3 linked regions of the Drosophila melanogaster genome follow. The protein of the gene in region 2 interacts with the protein of the main gene of each other region in a pairwise test. Each region holds a gene or a part of one and is shown on either strand. Other genes may lie near its edges.

Region 1 (8,027 bases), on a different chromosome or scaffold from region 2:
TTTAGTTGTTTAACTAAATGAGTTCGGCTGCTGCGACTGAAATTAGATAGCTTCCTTGAGTAGGTATCCTGACTAGAATAGTTGCTCTAATAAATTCGCTAATTCGCTAGGCCAATAGATCGATTAAGTGTACGCTTTCTAATTTGACTTCTTGAGATTCCTCTTGCGTATATTCCCGGGACAGCCGCCGGCGCTGAGGAGATGCAATTTCCAGCCGCCGTCTTGGGGAAGGTGAACATCGTCATGACAAAGGGGACATCGAGCAGCACCCGTTTTCAGTTCTGGAGAGGGGAAATGGTGATATAGTGACTCTAGAATTTATCTCAATTTCAAGTTTCTACCCCGACAATAGTCCTCCATCTGATGTAGTTCATATAGCTGCTTGTGCACCGATTCAGTGCAACGGACACAGACCACGTAGCTCTCCTTGGCATCGCATTCCGCTGGGGAATATTCACAATATTAGTTATCCTACGGTATTATATTGCAGACCTACTTGTCAGGTGGTAGTTCAGAGCAGCAACCTCCAGCACTTGACTGCATTGTGGGCACTTGGTGAGGAAAGGACACGCCTTCCAGTAGTGTCGGTCCAACTGAGTAGCGTCACTGCCGGCACACGACCAGTCGCAAAAGGGGCAACGTCTAAAAGAGTATTAATATTATTGCGGATCCTTGAAGAATTCAATTTTACTACACACATTTTGGGTGTGTTGTCTTCAGTGGACTCCGAGTTGGAAGCGGATCCCTTGCGCGAGTTGCTCACGGATAGCATGGAGCGCTTGAGCTGCTCGTTGTACTGCTGCTTTCCATTGCAGCTGGCATATCCATTACTGGAGCTGGCCATTGGGCCTAGGTTATGACCACTGCGGCTATTCATCAGTCGAGAGGCATCTGAGCTGGTGGACGCCTTATCCGCCGGCGGTGTTGCCGCATCGCCCGAGCTGTGACCCCCGCCATACTTGCTAGCCTCCAGCAGCTCCTGCTTGCGGTCCAGATCCAACTTGTCAAATTCGGTGAAGAGTTGGCGGTACAAGAGATTGCGACGCGTGATGTCGTCATCCGGAGGTAACTGCTTGCGCACCAGTCGGGGATTCACCTTGTAGACGAGCAGCAGGATGCGCTCGGCCACCTTTCGCACAGGCTCCGCTGGATGATGGATGCCGGAGCAGCCGCACTCGGACAATGCCCTGCAGGTGAGTCCACTATGCTTGTCCGTGCTAATGCCCTGAGTGTTGACCAGCTGCTCCAGCATCTGCAGCCGACTCATTGCCAGTCGCTGGTGGGTTCCGGATCCAACGCTTCGTGATAGTGCTGGCGCAACCAGGTGCTGCTCCGCCACCTCCGGACAGGCGGCGATGCTTAGGATCGTGTGCTGGGCCAGAGTGTGCAATCGAGCAGATGGATCGCCGGACTTGGCCAGCAATTCGGGCAGCAGGCGGTCCACGCAACGTGCCACCTCGTTGGGGGAAACTCGACCGGGCACATACTCTAGGAACAGCATGCGTACCGTCTCAGTAGCTTGGCTAAACACGGAGTAAACGGCATCTCTTACAGCGCGATGCAGCAGAAGGGCGGCGCTGCGGGCCACTTTGTTGGGACTGGCAGCGTGCTCGTTGCTCGACGCCTCTAACAGGTCGTGCTCCTTTAGGAAGTTACGCAGACGCATCAAGCCATCCTCGCGGTCCTGAAACTGACGCGAATAGAACTGCTCCACCTGGGAATATACATATGTAGGGCACGTATTGAATATGTTATCTATTGGATTTAATGGGGGACTCACCAGCTCATTGCCGAAGACCAGGATGGGAAGCGCTGCCTGGCGACGCTCGCGGTCGTTCAGGCGCGAACGCCCACGGTTCGGATCCGCTTCCAGTAGCGCGTTGCCTTGGCACTCCCTTAAAAATTCATTAGTATTTGAACTGTGAGCGGTTTGTGTTTGTTGTATCGGAATGGCAACGTTTACGGATGCGGTTACAATATACATATAGGAGTAGAAAGGTAAGTACGATTAAAGGTAAATCTAACAACATGTTACTTTCAAATGCGTTCAAATAACGCCTAATTTAAAGTTTTGTGTATAGTTTCGAAATTTCATTATATGAAATTAACTATGAAACCGTTCAAACTATTTTTAATCTTTTATAAAAGTTTCTAAGTTGTTAATAAAAACATAAATACTTTTCTCTAAAAGCAAATTTTAAATACTTTTTAAAATATCTAAAAGCAAAATTTCTGTCAAAAAGCCTAACATTTAAAAGTATCTCAAAAATACCTAATTTCAATATATAAAGAATTTTTGCTTTTGCTTTAAAAAGATAAATCCTTTTCATGTGTTTAGAGCAGATAAAACGGCTTTACTTAAAATTAAGCTAATAGATTCTCTTTCGTTCTTTGAAATTCTGGGCGAGCGTTAAATCTTAAATTAAAAAAAGTAACGGGTGTTGTTTCTAACGGTCGCTAGTGTTGACAAACATTCAAACTAAGAGTACCGGTTATCATGCAACACTGTAATAGACAGCTGTTTCCAGTAAACAAACGAAGTAATTACTATTCCACAATTGTTTACGTATTCACTAGACACCCAGACAACGATTACGACTCTCTACGCCCGCTACTCACTGTCGCAGCGTGGGAATGGCCCGCTCCTCGTAGTCTTCGTAGGAGTTTCGTGGAACGCTCTTGTTGCGCCTGCGCAGCGATCCCTGTCGGCTGGACATTGGTGAGCTGTGCCTTGAAGGCAGACGTGGCGACTGCGGCAGCTCGTCGTGGGACTTGCGCCAGCCCCCCAGCGTGGGAGTGGGCGTGGCCTGCAAAGAGGTGGGCGCAGGAGCGGGTGCTGGAGCAGGTGCCGGAGCTGTCAACGTATTGTCGTTACCAGGCTGGGAGCCATCGGTCGAGGATTTGTCCTCTAAGCTGAGACTCGTCATGCTCTTGGGACTGAAGGTGGCTTCCGCAAGTGCCTGTGCCACATCCTGCAGGCTAGGAGCCGATGGCAGACTGGGCTTCCCACCCGCATAGATCTCGCAGCTTTGGTCATTGGAGCTTAAGGTCACACCCTGCGGTTCCAGAAGCTGATGCACCTGCAATTGTCGAAGTACTGCCGCCCGGTACATCTCGATCTGCTCCTTGCGTAGCCTGGCCGTGGTAAAGTCCTCCTGCTGAACAGCCTGCCTCTTGGCCAGAGCATAGCGCCCCAAACGTTCTCCGGCAGTCCTTAAAGCTGTCATGCATAGCTTCAGTTTGCGGGCGTACTCGAATCTTTCTGAGTTAACGGCCAAAATCTTTCGCTGTTCCAACTCTCGGATGGTCTGCACTATTGACTCCTCCACATACATGGAGAAAAGCAGGTCATCACAGACGGAGGCCAGGGCCAGTTCTCCGGTGGCCGTGTCCAACGGTGGGGCCTCGTTGGCCAAGTGCTCCTCTCCGTTGCCATTATTTGGCCCCACTTCCAGATCCTCGCCCAGGACATTTACCGCTAGTAGGGAAATCTGGCCTGTGTCATTGTAGTCGTTTCCTTGGACGCCAATCAGACGCAGCTTAAGATGTGTGCCCCTACGTGGACACACGGTTACGCTCTGCAGCTCCCGAGACTTGTAGTTCGTGTTGGCATTATCCGCCAGGGCAACAAAACCCAAAAAGTCAAAGTACTGCGAGGATGGAGTGCTGGGCAGGGATTTGGGCGAGTAGTGCAGCCAGAGTTCTACTTTCTCAGCTAAACGAAAAAACAACACATTATAGGGAATACTCAAGCTGTTTGTTTATATGTTCATCTTTGATCATACTAAAGATCAGGCATTGATTATTTCTAGGTACTTATTAGGCTTGTAGCCAATTCCAATTAACTTAGCACATTAACTTACGTATAAGATACTGGTGTGCCAGGAGCTGGATGCGATAGATCTTGGCCGGCTGCTGGAATCGGAGGATGATGTCATGTGAGGTGAGGCTGCCGTTCGGAGCACTTCGCCATCCGTGAACTGTGGGGCCGTGATTGTTTAACTCGCTAGCCGGAAAGTTAACATCCTCGTCTGAAAGGCAAGCGAAACGATCCAATCATCATTACTTTCATGACGTTATAACCTATGTATAGGTGGCGCAGGCCATTATGACTCTCTTAATAAGTCTCTTTTTCGCACACTCAGCTAAATAGTTGCACATGATAACGATATCGGACTATGTTTCGTTCTCTTTCGGTTGCTAAGCTAACAGCAGCGGTCAAAACGAAAGCTAGCATTCAAGCGTGCCCAAAATAATAAGCCTTAAAATCTATTAAATATTCAGAAACAGGTTATCAGTTATATATGCGATGAAACGTATAAAATGGAAAGCATAAACAAAAACATTTGAGTTACTTTAAGAATTCTCAACTATCACTATTTATTCGAACGCAGCTGTACGAGTACAAACGAATCTAACTTGTTGTTCTCTATCCTCAGGTTCCACGCTCTTCTCTTCTATATTTAAGCGATGTCGATGTTAACATGCTAGTTTAGTCGTCGCTCAGCCGTTCGTGTTTTGTTACTGAATCAGATAGTATTATTGAATCTTTTGAAATGGCGGAGGGTTACACGAAAGCCACTGCCTGGCTGCAAATCCACAGCCTGCTGAATAGCATCAACCACATTCTGATCTTTCTGGTGGCCGTCTTCTTTTTCATACTGGCGCGCAGTCTGGAGTTCAAGGATACCGCCATGCATATGTTTATGACCGGGACTGGAGTGAGTACACGGCGATAAGCACTTGGCCACAAAATCAATAGTGTTAGATCGACCTGGATAACACGGACATGCAACGTCACTTGTTATCTTATCGAACTGGAGCTGAATTAAAAGGCTTTTCTTGCTCTCGACAGTTCCACGTCCTTATCGCCCAGGCCATGATGTCGCATTCGAAAGTGAACCCGCTCACCCGTTGGCTGTCGCACCGAAACAAGTCGCGCTTCCACGCCATCCTGCAGATTGTGGGTGGCTCCATGGTGCTGTTGGGCTCCCTGGGTAAATTTTCCAGCAAGGAGGTGCACTTTAACACCTGGCACGGCCGAGTGGGTGAGTAAATAATTAGGTTAATTCAGGAAAACCGATTAAAGCTGACATTTTGCAGGGGGAGCTGCTTCCTTTTTCTGCGCGGCCAGCATTGTAGGCGGTTTTGTCAACTATTTCCAGCCCAAGTTCGCCCTGAAAGTAATGCCTCCATCAGAGCTTCGCTTCCGCCATAATCTATTTGGATTGGTCACCTTTAGTCTGGGAATGGGCGCCATTTACCTGGGCTACTATTCGAAATTCTTTACCAAGTATGTGGATACTGACTTTATTCCCGGCATGATGCTGATTACCGGCATTGTTTATGGACTCACCATTATCGCGCCGGTGTCATCGCTTCTAACTAAACTTAAGTATCGGTCCAAAAAGAAGGCGGAGCAGGCCCAGTAGGTGATACTGGGGAGGATGAGGCTGAGGCCATCGAGGCTAACCAAAATTTGTCAGGTCCTAGCATGAAAATAAAGAGCTTGGCGTTTGGCCAAATTTAAATCTCTGGCCGCAACTCAAATTGCACATGCAGACACAAAAAGAGTCGACAACCCGGCAGTCTGACAATATTATAATGAAATATTACAGTCATCGTGGTTGCAGTGGTTTTAGGACGTGGTAAATTGGCCGAGACTTTGGAAAATTGATTTAGCATCCTGGCCATATTTAAATCGGACTATTGCCAGCTGATTAGCTGCAATTAAAAAGGCAGCGCCAGTCTATTTTAAATTCCAACGTCCTGGCGCACTAGGCGTATGCGTGATTTATCGATTTCTCAAGTGCAGCGAATTTTAAAGGAAGAAAGGGAGGTGGAAGACGTTTAGCTCTCAGCCAAATCCTGTCGCAACTAAAAATGCAATTAAGAACATAAAAAACACACAAAATAAAGCAAACAAATAAGAAAACTATAAATAATAAAAATCTTTCTGCAGCTTTCAGTTCATAATATATCCGAAGTTTTGTTTACCTGAGGCGAACACCACGTTAAAAGGTATTTTCTTAGCCATGTTGACGTCGCGCCGTCAAAAGCGCACTACTTTGCCACTTTTATTCGCTAATCCGCACATAAAGTGAGCACTTATTCTTAAAGCGGCCGTTCGCGAACTGTGTGACCGCACAATTTTTTATGATTTTTACCCTTGTGCTCTGGAAAGTATACTATAAAACTTTATTCGGCTGGGCGAATATACCAAAAACATACATCATCTACATAGAATGTTATTTGTTCAGCTTTATATTAAAGTCAATATTTTGTCAAATTAGATATTTTAATATCATTTATTTAACACATTTAAATTTACATTTGGAATTCGATACGTTTTAGCCACTATCTAACTATCTAGCCACTATCGACTTCGCTATCGATTCGAGCCAGCTGTTTTGTATTATTGAATTGACCAACACTCTTGTAGTTTTAATTGAAATTATTTACACGGTTCTTGAGAACAATTACAATGCCAACAAATGGCCATAAATACAGCATTTTGATGCCCACTTACAATGAAAAGGATAATTTGCCCATTATAATATGGCTAATTGTGAAATACATGAAGGCGAGGTGAGTAGCGGCTGCTCTAAGGTGCAAATTCAGGTATTAATTGCTCCCCCTTTGCAGCGGCTTGGAATACGAGGTGATTGTGATTGATGATGGTAGTCCGGATGGAACACTAGACGTGGCCAAAGACCTGCAGAAGATCTACGGGGAGGACAAGATTGTGCTGAGACCACGTGGCTCCAAATTGGGACTCGGAACGGCCTACATACATGGCATCAAACATGCCACCGGCGACTTTATAGTTATCATCGATGCGGACTTGAGTCATCATGTGAGTCTAGATAACAGGGTTAAACTAATAATAAGATAAACTAATAAGCTATATTTTTTCCGCTTCAGCCCAAATTCATTCCCGAGTTCATTAAGCTGCAACAGGAGGGCAACTATGACATTGTATCCGGCACTCGGTATGCCGGAAATGGAGGTGTCTTTGGCTGGGACTTCAAGCGCAAGCTCATCTCGCGCGGCGCCAACTTTTTGTCCCAGGTGCTTTTACGTCCGAACGCCAGTGATTTGACCGGCTCCTTCAGGCTCTACAAGAAGGATGTACTGGAGAAATGCATTGCCAGCTGCGTGTCCAAAGGCTACGTGTTCCAAATGGAGATGCTCGTTCGGGCTAGACAGCACGGCTACACCATCGCCGAGGTGCCCATCACCTTCGTGGACCGTATTTATGGCACCTCCAAGCTCGGCGGGACCGAGATTATTCAGTTTGCCAAGAACCTTTTGTATCTGTTTGCGACCACATAAAGAGAAAACCACCATTAGCTGGGTAGATTTTTAAATTTTTAATGTTCTTTGGATTTTCTTTGCTTTGTACATTTGGTAAGATTTGCTCAAAGAATTTTACATACATCTAATGAATTATGCATGAGAAATTTGTTTGCCATATTTATAATAATTCAGAGTTCTGCCTTCCTCGGTCTAGCACCCTGTTATGCTTCATTTATAATTTGAATAATGATAACTAGCGTTAATTGATTTAATTACTCAAGTCGAAAACTTTGTGCTGGTTGTCTGGATTGCCGTAAAGAGTGCCACAGTCATCGTCGAGGGCGCCCGATCCTCCGCCGTAGTTCTTCAAAGCCAGGGTCAGCAAGGAGTTGCGATCCTTGAGAGCCAGCACCACGAAGGCTCCGTTCGGCAGAATCTCACAAGTGCTCACTTGCGCCGGTGGCTTAAACACGGCCAGGGATTTGGCTGCAAGACCAGAAGGATGACTATACAGTTCAGTAGGGCGAAGACCGTGGTACATACCCGAATTCAACTCCCACATACGGACGGCCGAATCACGTCCCTCCTTGTCGTAGGAGAGCAGCACCTTTCCCAATGGATCCAGCTTCAAGAACGTTACCGGTGCATTGTGGCCGATCAAGGTGCTCTTGCAGTTGCCCGTGACCAGGTCCCAGATTAGGATTTTGGCATCTTCTAGGCCGGCGATG
Region 2 (5,134 bases):
GTTCTTCTTGACGCCAATTAGTCCCAGCTTTCCACGGCGCTTGATAAGTTGATCGGGCTTGCACACCAGCGGCTGCAACAAAGGAAAGGACGGGGCTAATTAAATGTATGCTAAATATAAATGAAATAAGCGACAAATCGTTGAACTTGTGCCTTCTGATCTCGGCGCGTCAGTAAAAAAGCCGGTTCCAACGATCAGCATCTGTCGAAAAGATCAGCCGATAACATCAGGGGTCGTTCCCGCGTCATTGCCAATGACAATGCCAGTGCTCGTACCCTTACCCGAACTTGTACTTGTGCCCACACAAAAACACATCTCATATGCTTATTAGAAGATCGTACGAGTGTAAATTGAGCAAACAGTCCGACTACGAAATATCATCCGAGATGTCCGTCAGGCGATTCACTTTGTCGTGTAATTAAAGCCGAAAGAACTCCCATTATGCTCACTAAATTTCGGATCTATCTTAATTGCATATAAAATTACGAGATCAAAATATTAAACTAATAGCTCTAAGTGAAACTATTTAAAGGGAGTTGTATTGTGTTTGATTGTTTGCTTCTCCCCCTTCAGTGGGGTAAACATCATTATCAGTAACGTAATAAAAGTATTATGCACTTCAAACGAAAACGTGACAACAAGACAATAAGTCTATTAAATCAGAAAGTTAATACCTTCTATCTGCATGTCATAAATTAAAACACCTTCCTGATAATCAGAGTTTCACAATCCTGCCTTTAGATTACTAAGACTAAGTATAGGGACGCTCCCTCTAGAGTCAACAAACAACTTATAGATAAGTTTTAACTGATCACATTTCAATAGAATATATTATTTTGCGAAAATTGTTTGAAAGATAGTAGAGTAGTTCCCTGAATCCCCCACTCGACTCAGCGACACTTCGCCACTTTAAAATCTCCGGCATATTTGAATTGAAATTATTCTTTAGAAATTCAGGCGGCGCAACAATGCTAGGTAAGGTCAATAAATTGAGACGCTCCAAAATCAACAAATAACTTGATGATAAGATTTCGAACATATGGATTTCGGTGATAAAGGTTTTCTAAAACAAACACGGAACATGTTAGCTTCCCCTTATTTCCCACTCAACCGTTATAAGTGCTCAAGATAAGTACTTGGCTACAGCCAAACTTTCCACTATCGATCGGAAGGTCAATCAGAGATAGCTGCGTGATCGTGAATCCCAATCTCCACGCACGCTTATCGTGTTCGCAAATGAGGTGAGCCTGATCCGCCGGCGGATAACCAAAGGGGCCAAGACCACGCCATGCCACGCGACCTACGACTGGGTCCCCGGCAATCTGATAAAAACCAGAGTGCGCCATGGGGTGAGCTGTCGGTCTGCGCCCGCGTCCGTCCGTCTACTCCGCAATTTCCAGCGATCAACTCGCGCGACCGACTGGCGCCCAATTCGCTCTTATCAGGAGCCGCGCTTAGTCATTCGGCATCGGCGTGGTGGTCGAAGCGTCCACCACGAGGTCAAGTTCAATGACAATCCCGCCGAGCGTTTGTTGTCGCTGGCCCAATTGTTGTTCCTACATATCGGCTGATTCGCAATCGTCGAGTTCCGCGAGTTTCGCGGCTATTTTTAACTGGCACTCACCGTGGTCAGCAGCCAGGGATGGTCAACGGCGAGCTTGGACCAATCTGTCGTGGAATTTACTGTGGAAAAACGGCAAGTGGCCGCGCCGGCGCCATGGGTGTTGAGATGGCGGTTCAGGATGTCCTTGCCGGAGGCCTCGGTGATTGCTTTCGCCGACATGATGAAGCTACAGAATATACAAAAAAACAAAAAAACAAAAATACAAAAATATATAAAAACAAATCAATTAAGATTTAATATAGCCTTCTTTCAAATACAAATAAAGGAGGGTCTCGTGTGTTCGCGCGTACCGTTTGACTTTGTCTGTACTTTCAAACTTTGATTTATTTACTTAGAATTGATTAGAGCACGACTGTGTGCAGGTGCAATAGGTTTCGAGTAAGTTTCAAAGTGTGCGTGCTGGGCGGCTTCAGCTTTGGGTAGCTACAGGCTGGGCAGCTAGCTAATCAACCTGCACGTCGTCGGGTCTGGAAGTAAACTGAAATCGAATGCGCGACAGCACCATCCATGAAAATGAGCCAGCAACAGGCGTATTCTGATTTCGATTTCGTGGCGCTGCCTCGGCTTTCAAGCTTCGCGACTCCAACGGCTTCGGGTCTTTAGAATTTTCGGCTTATGTGTTGATATGTACATGGCTCTCGCTCAACCAGATGGTTGTTTCCCAGAGATTAGGTCTGCAACGGGATCTGGCCCTGGACCATTACCATTGCGTTGGGTGTGGGGAAGCACCTTTTGTAGAACCGGTTATCAACATATCATTGCAGCTTGGATATCAAGCCCAGTTAGTCAAGTCAGTGGGTCACTTTGGCTGAGGGCCGAACTTTCTCCCAAAAATACATGAACAGCCAATGGCTAGCAAATCGGAAATGGCATGGAATCTAATTCGATGAAGAGCGCACATTGAAGGGGGCTGATGACTTTGCAAGTACACACGATCTAATTTACATCTGGAAACGAAGTTCACGCCTAGCCGATGCGTATGCAAATTGGCTGCCCTGCTGGTGAAACTAAAAAAAACTAAATGCGAAACCGAAACCGAAGCCCAAACTAAAAATGTTGTAAGCGGTGAAAGTGGGCAAAATCAATAGGGCTGTTGCATCACCGTTCGTGGGTCAAATAGCTGTTAATCTTCGCCTTCAGTAATTATTGCAAAATGCTTGCTGATTTTCGCATTAATATTTCTGCAATATTCAGCGAATATGTGATTATAGTGTGTGTGTGTGTGTGTGTGTGTGTGTGTGTGTGTGAGTGTAAGTGCGTGGAGCAAGCCGAACGATCTGTGCGAAATTTCATTTGGTCATGTTTTCCTTTGTACTCGTCACTATTCAATGAAATTGTGGGTGTATATACGCGGGTATATTAACGGGCGACGAGAGCACTCACTTTAGTTAAATCAGCTTCACGACCTGCGATTAATTTTAACACGTAAACTAAACTGCAACTTTCTTTCGGTTGTCGTTTCTTTAGCTAGCGATGGCCAAGTTTCGATAGCTCTTTCACTGTTTTCCCTCGAATACATGGCGATACATTTTGTTATTAATTTTTTTCGAGCATACTTTTTGGCGCGTTTTAAAATACTGCGCAACAGTATGTAATATTATATACAGTATTAACTGTATGCGCTAGGCTCTATAATATTAATAGCATTTATAGTAAACAAATTAAATATATATTTTTTTATATATATTTAATAATATATAAATATTTCATTATTTTAATAATCTGCTACAATACAATGTTAAATTTAATCGCATGCCATTGAACGCTTAAATTATACTACCAGCAAGAAATCAACTAAACATAAGCCCATATATCAAGCAATTTATGTAGCCACCTGATGCGCCTTAAAAAAGGATTCTGTGCTTTAATGGTATATTTTTAAAATGATCATATGATTAGTATTTCCCTGTGCCGGATGGTATGTTTTATGTATTCCACGGCGGTCACACCGAAAAGCGATAATAATTTTTGGCCAGCGATATTGGATAATATAAATAAAGCGCAACGCCAAGGAAACTCCAATTTAGATTAGCAGCTGGACAGAAAGTCGGTTACCAGGAGCTGCGCCATCGCCGCCCACACGAACACACACACACACAGCATCCCAGGATCAAGGGAACGCACGCCATGCCCACACAAGTCCAGATGAGGCCGCTTTTGCGAATATTCGCAGAACCCATCCTGCTCATCCTAATCTTCCTTTTCACTTTGGGCGCCAAAGGTGAAAAGGTCCTGCAGGAGACTTTCCTGGGGCTGCAGGAGGCACCAATCCACGATTTGGGGGACCTTCGGCTTGTGCCGTCCCGTCTAGACTTTGGAACGTGGTCCGTCGGCCAGGCGCGTTCTCAGACGGTGACACTATTCAATCAACACTCCAATCGAACGCTCCAGCTGAACGCGGTGGCCGGACCAAGTCCGGCGTTCTACAGCAGCTTCCTGGGCACGAGAGAGGTGCCGCCGCAAGGCAATACAACTTTCAACGTGGTGTTCCTACCGCGCCAACTAGGCGCCATTGCCGCCGACCTTCTCATTCACACCTCCTTCGGCCAGGCCGAGTTGGCGGTACAGGGCGAGGGCAGTGAGTGCCCGTACCGCCTAAAGCCGTTGGTGGGCATTAAGGCGCCCATGAATGCGACACTCACGCCAGAGATTCACATGTACAACCCGCACGAGCGGCCGCTGCAGATACTTGAGGTAGGTTTTAATCAACACTCTGTAGGTATATTACCCATAACCATGTCTTTTAGATATACAGCAGCGGCGGCGAGTTTCAGTTAGAGTTGCCCAGCGGTGGCTCGGAGGGCCCACAAAATCTGTGGAAAATTCCTCCACACACTTTAAAGCCGGTCATTAGGATATCATTTCACGGCCGCACAGCTGGCAATCACAGCGCCTACATACGCATCAAGGTCGCAGAGCAGGAACTGGATATTTTTATTCCTGTCGAATTTGAGATTCTGCCACGACATTCTGTGTACGCCCGCAATCCACTGGCGGACTTTGGCCGTGTGGCCACTTTAAATGCTCCGGATGCACTACAGTTCAAGCTGGACGTTCGGAACGACGAGAGTCGCCAACTCTTCGGCAGTTACCTTCGCCAGATTCCGGGTCTCTCGTTTGACGCAAACAACACAAGTATAGTGTTGGATGCCAGCCTATTCGAAGGCGATGAGATCATTAATGATCTGCTGGTGATCAACAGTAACCAGTCCAGTACCAGTCCTGGTGCGGATCAGCCGTTTACAGTGCTGGTGCGAGCGGAAATCTTCCATGGAGGGCTCACCTTCGACAGAAATGCCACCAGATTTGTGACCACCTCGCCAGAAGGCGTCGAGGGTGAACCGCTGGAAAGAAAACGATCGCTGGTGGTGCGGAACAAGTTCGCAATACCCCTAATGCTCTTTAACGTAAGTCTCACAGAGCCCATTGATGAATCCATATTGGAAGTAACCCTCGTAGGCGATCCAAGGATACTAATTCAGCCGGACGAATCTGTTGAGCTCCTGCGTC
Region 3 (3,025 bases), on a different chromosome or scaffold from region 2:
AATTGTTCTTTTAGTCAAATTTTTTAAGTGTATGCGTTTTGATACGTTTTACAAAAAAAGGATTACAAAATCGTATCTCTTTGAATTTGATAAAAATAATACTCTACACAATGTCTACGTTGACTGTAAAAAGGTTCGTGAACTAGCTAAATTGCTATAAAATGTTTATAAAAACTTAAATATTATATTTTTGTTTTTCCTTTAAAATTGTATTCAGTACAAATAAATTTGTGTTGGAGCACACTGTTAGTAAAAGATTTAAAGAGTTATTGTTAAATATGTGAAAACAGAAAACAATTTCATATATTTTATGAAATATATTTCGTTTTAATTGAATGTGGGTAATAATTTAGGCATCATGAAAGAAAAACCTGCCTAAATAAAGTTTTATATTTAAATATGTGCCTTATTTGTATAGCAGCAATCTTTTAAGAAACAAATATTTACTCAATTGACCTGATATATATATATATATATATATGATTTGTATATATGATATATAATAACAAAGTAAAAAACATTAGCAGACCAATTGTATTCACTAATAACTTTATTTATTGGCACTCAAAACTTAGCATACTTAGGTGAGCTTAAAAATAAATCCTAAAGTAGAGCATACAACAGGGAAGCACTTCGATTGGGGAACACAATGAACTCGGTGGATAGCTATCATATCGATAGGTGTGGCACTAAATCCGCATGGTAAGACGCCTTTGGGGCCTCAGACGCTCCTTTTCCGCCCGATCCTTGCGCATCCGAAGGATTTCCTCGCCGCGCAGCTCCTTTCGCCTTCCAGGAGATACATCTCTGTTGAGATCGATTTTGGATTCAATCCTCGGCGAACGGCGACCTATCACAAAACTCGCGGTATCGTTCGCGAACAACTTTTGCTGGCGCAATCGTACGCAACGTTTAGGTGTTTCGGAGAAATCCTCGTTTCCAGGATCCCTCTTCTCGTCCCCTATTGTTAACACTTCCTTGAACATATCCTCGACGGCACTGAAGTACAGCGTGGAATCGGAGGACATTGTGAACCTGATGCTGGCGAACAACTGAGCCCAAAGTTGATTGAAGCAAGTCAAGGGGACGAGTTTGAAATGCATTTGAACGGACCACCAGATCTTGGACACTTTTCAACCCTCGACGGTGTTCTAGGCTACCTGATCCCAAACAATGGTGTACATAAAACTAGGAAAACAGCTGGAAGGACTGTGGTAATGAGGGGTTTCCCTGCTGGTAAACCCTCATCTTAAAAAAATATTTGAACTTCCCTAGCTCAAATATTTATTAGTGAATATCTCACACTTCAATAACGAAGTTTTCTAATTTCTTTCCCCCAAGCTTAAAATATTAGCTTATTTTAGATTTACAAATTTTAAAAGCCAGTATGTAGAGATGCTATTAATTAATGATACACTTACTTTTATTTCCACTTTCAATTTTCTATAGATATTTTAGTTTTATTGTCTTGTTTATAGTGTGTCATCCAGTACAATATAACTTTTTTAATCTGCCTTACATTCATACATATTATACATTAAATATATATTGTGAATGCTTTACTGGGTTTCGAGTTCAAAATGTATTGTAAGGTATACAGTGAGTCACATTTTTTGCCGCTCCAACATTATCTACCTTTCTAAAGAACGCACAAATTGCCCATTCAATTGAGTCCCAAACTATCTATAGATAAGAAAAAATCCCATAACGAGCATCCGACGCGATTAGATTAAGTCATGCACTGAACGGCTTTGGTTCTTAGTTCGTTTCAATTTCGATTTCGACGGAGTTATTATTAATATGGCCTATAGTATAAATTCATGTCCTCAGATCAGTACTCCTTGTTGAAGTAGTCGCGTATGCTGCGCTTCACAATGGGCGTCAGTTGGGCGACCTGCTTCTGCACCTCATCCGTGTTCTTATCCTTGTGATAGAAGACCGTGAAGTAGACAATCAAGCCGATCACCACGACCATCAGGAGCGCAGAAAACACGATGCTCAGGAGCATCTTGCAGGCGCAGGAACAGCAGCTGCAAGGATATGGAAAGATCTGATTAGAAAAGTTTTACACATGATCAAGATGGAGATATCCTGGATGTCAGATCTTGTTGTCAGATCAGTTCAATTAGTTCATTTCAATCAGGTTGAATCCCGAATACTTAGGATGCTTGTAACTGAAGATACCCATTTCTAAATTTCCCAAATTGGCTTCATCCAGAGCTGGTCAAGAGCTCTCACATATAATTTATATATATATAGTATATATTTGTATATGATGATTAGTGAGCCAGAAACCGATGGAAACTTACCAGCAAACCACTTTGCCGGGACATTTGAGGCATTCACAGAGAGCGTTGCACATGGTGATGACTTTTTTGGGTTATTCTATTATAGATAGATATACTGTACAGTATATTTCCGATTCCCGATGCGTGGTTGACCAACACAAAATATTAACTGAAGCGGGTAACTGTCATCGACCGCATTTTGGGGTCTACAGGTATTGAAAGCTTTAATCATATCGGCCGAAAAAATAACAAATAGACTGATAACAAGTCGACTATAATTATCACTACGCCAGTGAGAAAAATGGGTGAGAGTTATTGGAAAACGGAGCTTACAATGTTTCCATTCGACCGAGGTATCTGTATCGTATTATCCATCATTTTCGTACTGGTGCATCCAGCAGAATAAAAATACAGAATAAAGCTATTTGCCACTTAAACATCTCGAGTGAAGAGGGATTGATCGTAATACTTATCATATATATGAAATATTATAAAGAAAACTACTGTTAGCACGACGATAAACACAATGACAACGATTAAGCGTCGATTCCAGCACATAATTCCCTACATTTGATTTTATTGACTATTTTGTTCCAAATCAAAACAAAAAAAAAATAACCAAAGAATTTGATTAGGGTCGCAAAGGTAGATGAATCATTTTTAACTAGAGTAGGGCGCAGAATGTTTGTGACAATGACAAATTGTTTTGTTCGTTTAAAGATATGTATGTCTCATCC

What was found.
Region 1: the proteins of ATPCL (region 2) and CG10137 interact in a two-hybrid assay, tested with the Drosophila melanogaster proteins (one large-scale study listed by BioGRID).
Region 3: the proteins of ATPCL (region 2) and CG13454 interact in a two-hybrid assay, tested with the Drosophila melanogaster proteins (one large-scale study listed by BioGRID).

What each region holds. Positions count from the first base shown.
Region 1 is NT_033779.5:19,524,782-19,532,808, reverse strand, and holds the start of CG10137 (uncharacterized protein), read right to left. Parts: upstream 6,124-8,027; 5' UTR 6,038-6,123; coding exon 5,998-6,037; intron 5,900-5,997; exon of another isoform or gene 5,433-5,899; coding exon of another isoform or gene 5,104-5,432; intron 5,049-5,103; coding exon of another isoform or gene 4,856-5,048; intron 4,722-4,855; coding exon of another isoform or gene 4,557-4,721; exon of another isoform or gene 4,440-4,556; intron 4,039-4,439; exon of another isoform or gene 4,032-4,038; coding exon 3,864-4,031; exon of another isoform or gene 3,813-3,863; intron 3,716-3,812; coding exon 2,620-3,715; exon of another isoform or gene 2,504-2,619; intron 1,896-2,503; coding exon 1,781-1,895; intron 1,715-1,780; coding exon 699-1,714; intron 643-698; coding exon 497-642; intron 444-496; coding exon 342-443; intron 282-341; coding exon 139-281; 3' UTR 1-138. Other genes in the region: CG10165 (uncharacterized protein), read left to right, coding at 4,557-4,721, 4,856-5,048, 5,104-5,432; Dpm1 (Dolichyl-phosphate mannosyltransferase subunit 1), read left to right, coding at 6,485-6,588, 6,646-6,856, 6,925-7,335; CG10132 (uncharacterized protein), read right to left, coding at 7,568-7,785, 7,843-8,027.
Region 2 is NT_033778.4:15,998,181-16,003,314, forward strand, and holds the start of ATPCL (ATP citrate lyase), read right to left. Parts: upstream 3,111-5,134; 5' UTR 3,008-3,110; exon of another isoform or gene 3,001-3,007; intron 2,108-3,000; exon of another isoform or gene 1,915-2,107; intron 1,791-1,914; 5' UTR 1,784-1,790; coding exon 1,625-1,783; intron 73-1,624; coding exon 1-72. Other genes in the region: Tmem131 (transmembrane protein 131), read left to right, coding at 3,752-4,318, 4,372-5,134.
Region 3 is NT_037436.4:15,515,999-15,519,023, forward strand, and holds CG13454 (uncharacterized protein), read right to left. Parts: upstream 1,059-3,025; 5' UTR 1,029-1,058; coding exon 690-1,028; 3' UTR 535-689; downstream 1-534. Other genes in the region: mex1 (midgut expression 1), read right to left, coding at 1,832-2,030.